2 linked regions of the Mus musculus genome follow. The protein of the gene in region 2 interacts with the protein of the main gene of each other region in a pairwise test. Links are inferred from orthologs where the notes say so. Each region holds a gene or a part of one and is shown on either strand. Other genes may lie near its edges.

What was found. The genes of interacting proteins can lie anywhere in the genome.
Region 1: the proteins of Ctnnd1 (region 2) and Zbtb33 interact in binary tests that used the Homo sapiens proteins (3 or more experiments, as listed by UniProt). The link is inferred for Mus musculus from reciprocal best matches to the Homo sapiens genes CTNND1 and ZBTB33.

Annotation. Positions count from the first base shown.
Region 1 is NC_000086.7:38,188,850-38,192,599, reverse strand, and holds the start of Zbtb33 (transcriptional regulator Kaiso), read right to left. Parts: upstream 2,808-3,750; 5' UTR 2,518-2,807; intron 386-2,517; 5' UTR 384-385; coding exon 1-383. UniProt on the Homo sapiens protein: Transcriptional regulator with bimodal DNA-binding specificity.
Region 2 is NC_000068.7:84,619,718-84,623,367, forward strand, and holds part of Ctnnd1 (catenin delta-1), read right to left. Parts: intron 2,366-3,650; coding exon 2,294-2,365; intron 1,271-2,293; coding exon 1,118-1,270; intron 738-1,117; coding exon 202-737; intron 1-201. UniProt on the Homo sapiens protein: Key regulator of cell-cell adhesion that associates with and regulates the cell adhesion properties of both C-, E- and N-cadherins, being critical for their surface stability.

The DNA of each region.
Region 1 (3,750 bases), on a different chromosome or scaffold from region 2:
CCTGATATGCTTTTAACCTGTGACAGTGGGACACCAAGCTCTGCTATAAATTTCACGCCTAGTAACTGCCCTGATTTAATTAACTCGTCAAGCAAATCTGCTCTAACACGGACAACTTTGGAACTGTAGATATAGTTCAGAATTTCTGCAAAAATCTCAGCTCTTATAAAGCTTAGTTCAACAACTTGCCCAGCAACTGAGAAGAGCTGATGGAAGTATGTACTCGAGGCTGAAAGGATGTTCCTATGGGCCCGGAATTTTCGGTCTTCCACAATAACAGTAACATCACAAAAGAGACCATGGCCACGCTGTTCATTCAAGGAGTTCAGCAGACTGGCAGAGTACTGAATGTCTGTAGCAGAAATCAGTTTTCTACTCTCCATGCCTATAAGGGAAAGAGAAGAGGGAAAGAGGGGAGGATTAGGGAGGGAAAAACCCCAAAGTACCTGACTATTCGAAATGTGAGGCATAGGTATGGTAAACAGTTTACATTTTAGTCAATATTTGGTGTAAATCTTGACCTTTAAACATGCTCTTACATACACTAGCTTTTGACTGTGTGTCAAATCTTAGGACTTACTCTGAGAAATGTCAAGAAACTTTGAAATTGCCATGCAGATCTGAACAATAATCTCCTTGGTCGCCTTCCTTTGAAATTCAGGAAAATGCATTTCCACTAATCACCCTTTTAAACTTAGAATTCACTTTCCTAGTCCCAACTTTACTTCATTTTTCCTCAAGAGATAAGAATTTTTCATTTTAAGAAAAATCTTCACCATTAAGCATATGAATTACTTCTTCAAATGCCAGAAAAGTTTAGTGTGTTTAATATTTAGTCTGAAATTTATACCCTTCAACTTCACCTCTAATCTTATTAGTTACATCCTATTCAAAAGTTCACCCTCACAGCCAAGGCCAATTACGGACACTGACAATTAGCGCCTCACAATTTCCCATTATTTCTACCTACCCCTTATCCTTCTATTCTGCCTTGCACTTTGTAGAGATGCAGCGTTAGACAGAGTGCCAAGTGAAGTCAACACATACTCTAGTGAAGAAACAAACAGAAAGGGAGAGCGCCCCTCCTCGGTGCCTATTTACATAAAAACTGCAAACATATGTTGTTGGTAAAGAATGATGTTCACTTGTAGAAGACCCAGTTCTCTTCAAAGGAGTCAGTGCAAGCAAAAACAGTAACTAGTTACAACAGAGAAGCAGGCAACTGTTGCTGCTGTGGGACACTCCAAACACTTTCTTTTGGCATTTCACGGAAGCTATTGAGTTCAGAGTGCATCTGAAGTGCAAAGGACCCATATGCATATTAAAATACTTATAAGCACAAAACACATGTTATACAAATATTATATATTAACCATTCCTTGCTAAGTACATTTGGTAGAGAATTATTTTATTAATAAGTTACTAAAGAATGTCACTGTCACCTGGTACTTACACACACACACACAAACACACACACACACACACACACACACACACACACATGCTCACATATAAACACACAAGGGAGGCATGAGTATCTCTGTATTTAAAACATCATAACTTTAAAAGTCTAAAAGCCAAAAATTAAAACCATGTTAGCTACTCCATTTTAACAGCACCAAGGAATTACAGGCAATCACAAAGGCATTCATCACAAAGTGTGACCTTTAGACAATCTGCCAACAATCCAAAACATGAAGGTTTCAACAGAAACCACTTTCAAGTGGAGAGATTTCTGTATATGGCCACATGATTTTTATAATTGGAAAATAAGGGTTTTTTTTTTCCAACATGGGAATGATTCAAATGTAGGTGTCTAGGTGATACTGGGACCTGGTTTCATTTTGATTAGGTATCCAGCTGGTCAGGGTTAGCCCAGGATCACCCCAAGTGGGTCTCAAACCTTTCCTCCCCAGAGATTTGCGACCTGCCTACGGAAAAGGCATCTCATAGCATTGTGTAACACATCTTTGGTTGTTGGCTGGTTTAGAAGGCTGGTGACAGTAGGGAAGAGAAAAATGCCACGGGCCAGAGGGGGGGAAACAAACCAACACTACAGGGCTCCCTGCAGCTGTTGTCCATCTCTCCCTCTTCCACCATCTCCCTCTTCTTCCTTTGAACTTTGGTGCAACTGAGCTTTTAAACGTCAATTCACGTGAAAACACAAACAGGGATGGCGATGCAAACAGCAGAACGAAGGCAGGGGGGTTGAGGGGTGTTGAAGAAAGTAGGCCTAGCTCCTAAGGGTACTCTGTTGGGGGTAGCGGGCCATGCGAAGCCGGAAGCATTGTTGTGTCCAAAGAAGGATCTAAAGAGGAGGATGGGCCCCATAGTAAAGCTCAATCAAACTAGTAGGGAGGTGGGAAAAGAGCCCCCTTCCCCGCCCCCCAAAGCGGACGAATGGAGAGGGAGAAAGCCAAGTGGGTACTTGGCGGCGTCCCCCACGCCCTAAGGCTTATGCAAGGGTACCGGGTGCCTCTGGCACTGGACAGAGAAGGGGACCACGCCGCGCCTTACCGGTTCTCTTGGTAGAGCTCCGGGACCCACACAAAGAAAGAGCAGAGGAGCCAAGGCCTCGGGCTCCGCTGCTTCCTGGTTCAAGCGAGGCGGCCGCAAGCGTAGGCGCGGCCAGGGCATGGAAGGCGTAGGCGGGCTCCGTCTCCCGGGCCCGGTGCCCAGCCCACTCCTCACCTGCTCCGCGGCGGCCGCTTTCTCCTCCTCGGGGCCGAGGCAGGGTCAGAGTCCTACCCCAAGCAGCCGGACTCCGCAGCGCCGCTGCTGCCGCTTTAAATGTCGCTCCAGTTTCCGCCGACGTCAAAGCGGCTTCCACGGACGCGGCTCGGGCGCCGGGCTCCGCCGACAGAGGGCGCAGCGTGGGAGGCGTGGCTTCCTCGCCTTCCTCTTCCGAGAGCAGCCCGGGGTTGTCCGGAAGAGCGCGAAGCCCGCCTTCGGCTCTTTCCGTGACTGCGAAGCATTTTTCTAAGTGTTCTGTGATTCTCTTAAGAGCTCGGCTCCGTGAGACAGACAAAGATCCGATGACACTGTTAGGAGTGGCAGGGAGGCTAGTCTTGTTTGTTCAAACTCCCTTAAGTCCCGAGGGCTTAAAAATGTTCAGAGGTTGTATAAATTCCAGTTCTTTTGCATGTTTGAAGTCTGCCCTGTTAGCCTGTTGCTTGGATAACAAGCCACCTTGAATACAATCTGCATACTAAAATTTAACTCATACTAATTCAAATTGTAGGATAACAAGAAAACCACATTACACTGTCTACTTTTAAGAAGAAACCTGTGTTCTGATAACTCTTGTTAATCGAATGTTAAATGGTGCATGCAATATCTTGTTAACTGCATATCTATTAACATAGAGATCACATTTGATCTGCAGCAAATATACTCCAGGCCCTGTGGGATAGAAAAGCAGATAAGACAAGTTTCTCTCATTTCAGAGGGCTCGGCAGGTACATACACACGAATAAAAGTATTTTAAAAGTATAGAACTACAGAGAAGGAATAACAAACCAAATAGTGTCAAATGAGCCCTACCTTGAAAGGCAATAATATTTGTATTGTTTATCATTATTTTTTAAAATATTTTTTATTATGTATTTTCCTCAATTACATTTCCAATGCTAGCCCAAAAGTCCCACACACACCCCCCCACTCCCCTACCCACCCAGTCCCACTTTTTGGCCCTGGCGTTCCCCTGTACTGGGGCATATAAAGTTTGCATGTCCAATGGGCCTCTCTTTC
Region 2 (3,650 bases):
AGGGAAGGAAGAAAGAAAGGGAGTGAGGACCAATCAATCCCATTGTAAAATCTTCCTCCATGGCAACTACGCATCCAAACAGTCAGCATGGCATCTTCAGCCAGCAAAGATCAGCTCTAGGAGGAAGAGCCCTCAGAGCAGACAGGTGCTTAGTGACCTCTAGGAGTCCCTAAAGCTACCTCTTCCCCCACTCCTGCCCACCTGAGGCGTCGTCGAGGGTCAGAGGGTGTTCCTGTCCGACGGGCAGTACCATAATCAGACATCATGCCGTAATCGAGGTCATCATAGCCCATGCTGCGCTGGTCATCCTCTAGCCCGTAAGGCTCAGGATGAAAACGATGCAGGTCCACACTGCTTCCACCTACTCGAACCTGGGGCTGGGGCCCATAGACATCTTGTCTACTGGGTGCCCGGTAGCCTTCCATGCTGGGCCTATACCGCTCCTCAATTCGGGTCACCCGGGACAGACTGCCGTAGTTGTCACTGCCACCTGGATAACCATCTTCATAGTGTCGGCCATACCCATCTGGAGGATAGTGGAAGTTCCTAGGAAGAGTGGCAGTGCCCGCTTGCCCCACATAGGGACCAGGGCCCCCATTGCCATTCTTGCGAAAATCACGGCCCAAGGTCTGGATATAGTTATTGGAGACTGCTGAGGCGTCCACGGGCAGCCCGTCTGGCCCCATGGGGACAGGCTGTACTGTCCGAGTTGTCATTGTCTTCACAACTTTTTTGACCTTCATTTAAGGAATAAGAAAAGGAAAACCAACTATTGAGGAAATAAAGAATCTAAGTTTAAATTCCACAGTACTCTAAGATAGAAACCCTACCCTCTAGGTCTTTATACAGAAGTGTGTGTCATCTATATCTCTTCTCCATCCTACAGAAGCCCTCAATGGAAAAAAACTGCCCAATCACTAACATCCTCTCCGGAAGCTACTGTAACTGTCATACTCCTCCTCTCTTCCCACTTCCTGAACTTCTTTTACCTTGTCTCTTTGCCCAGGCATCACTTTCTTTCTGGCAGACAGTGGCTTTGGCTCACTTAACTCGTTAGCTTCTCTACTAAAATACCACAGAGGACCTATCATTCTAAGACACGAAAATCTCAGCTTACTGTGGTCTCCGTGCGTCTAGTGGTCCCATCATCTGTGGTCTCCACAGAAACAACAGACATGGCTCCTTCAGGGTCCTCCTCGGTGTAGGTTTCCACAATCTGTCCTGGCTCCTGCATCCTGGGGATAGTGCTGTACAGAAGGTGGTTGTGATCCTATGAGAGAGAAAAGAGTGAAAATACAACTGAACCTATGTAGTAACAATCTATTCTAGTAAGAAACACAGGTGCCTCTAGAGACAGGAGGCCTTCATGCATCTCCCATTGTCCTCAGGGGTTTTTAATAAAAAATGGTTGTCATCTTTAATACTTGTACAAAAAGGCAGGGCATGGTAGTGTACACCTTTAATCCCAGCACTCAAGAGGCAAATGCATGCAGACCTGTAAATTCAAGCCTACCCTAATATACACAGCAAATTCCAGGTCAACTAGGACCACATGTAAAAGGACAGAAAATAAAACTTCCTAGTACTAGCTATCTAACACATATAAGTTTAAAAAGGTAACTAGAATCATGCTGACATTGCAGTGACTGGGACAGCAGGTTACCTCCCATTCTGGTCCCCGACTTGGATATTAACTGTGTTAACTGTAATATTTACACTGGAGCAATACTTCAAAAAGAACAGCTTACTCAGTAAAGATACGGATTTTAAAAAATAATAAAAATACCAGGTTTTTGCTTTGTTTTGGGTAGCTAGGCAAGCACCCCACCTGCCACTGAAAACATTTGGAGCCTCCTCCTACTTTTACTTTGGGATAAGGTTCCAGCAATCTCCCAGGGAGGCCTTGAAACTTTTGATCCTCCTGCCACAGCCTCCTAAGACACTAAGATTAGATTTGCCCCATCAGGCCCAACAAAGATTTTGTTATTCATCAGATTCGTTCATCTCCTCAGTTAGATTTTAGGTAAGCTTTTCTACAATGTAAAATTATGCTCTCCCTCAAAACAATTGCAGTTTTTGGAGGATCAAATGAGATAGGAATACCATGAGAAAAGCCAATGATTAAAAAAAAAATCAGCAAAACTATAATTTGAAATGGTACCTTTTTAATTTCCAAAATTAAAAAACTAGTAAATATTTACGATGAGCACTGCAGCATAGCAATATGATCATAAAGACTGGAGAGGTACAAAGATGTGAATGAAGTCCCTAGACCTTGAGTGGAAACAATTACCTGGGGTCCGTTGAGTTTCAGATCTGAAAATTTCTGTCTCTCAAGGTCAGCATCGCCCACAAACCGGCCGTTCTGAAACAGAGCCCACAAAACAATTCATGTTCTGGCTGACCTTTGTTCTGTCTAAGACAGCATCTTTCTTTCAAAAATGAAAGGGCTTTTGAGAAGGTATTTGTGGACTGAAATCCTTCTGTCGGTACTCACATAAGAACCATAACACTCCATAACAATCTTAGATACCACTTTCCTCTACAGGCCTAGAATTCTGGCAGGTGGGATTTCTGGAGCATGAGAATGTAAGTTCCATGAGTACACAGGGTTTGAGTCCAGTAGTTTCAAGGCTACTAACATCCCTAACATCTTGAACAGTACTTGGCACATTAGAAGCATTCAAAGACCATTTGCTTAATAACACAGACTCAGGTAAGCTCCCTACAGAAAACCTTTTGGAAAGCTTTAAGAATGTAAGTTAGGAAGGCTACAATGGGGGGTGGCGGAAGGGGGGAGGGTGTCCACAAAAAGCCTCCTTTTATTATCGTTCTAGGAATCTTCAAGCTGTGGTACCAGGGTAAACTCCCATTCCAGGAAGCTCTTGAATGAAGAGAGTAAATTCTCCATTTCCAAATACGAAGGAAAGTACTCAGCAACGCCCCTCAAAAAAAGTCTTCAACGTCTTTAACAAGTTACAGCTACAGAACACATTCTCAAACGTTGTTAAATTGTTCTATGTTAAGCACCAAGACATAACCTAATGAGACTGCATATATAAAGCACATGTCTTGCCCCTCCCAACAGAATACAACTAGATCCAATAACCTTGGGATCTTCTTCCACCCATTCCCCCTTTACATGCAGTGTAATGCTGCAGCAGGGGAGGAAGTTAACCATTGCTTTCAGGAAGAAGGAAGGGTGTGGTTTCATTGCAGAGCAGAGGTTAAAAATAAAAGAAGAAGATAAACCACTAAATCCTGGGATTCCCCACCACCTTAAAGTCTGAGCACCCCACTTTCCTTCAGTGTGTCTCATCCCTAACTCTCTACACTCAAGTTCCTGAAAATTTCCTTGAACGTTGTTGTTTATTTCATGGTCCTGATTATTCAAATGATATCTACTAGCTTAAGGATTAAGCAAGCAACTGGGCACGATTGTAACCCTAGCACTAGGGAAACAGAGACAAGAGGACCACAAGGTTGAGGTCAACCTGAGCTATGTACCAATACCTAATCTTCACAGACCCAAAGGTCTGGAAATGTTGTTTAGTGGCATGCACAAGACCCAGGATTCCATCCCCAGCTCCTCATACATAAGTAAGTAAGTAAAGAGTCTAGGACATAGCTCTGTGGTAAAGCATTTGTCT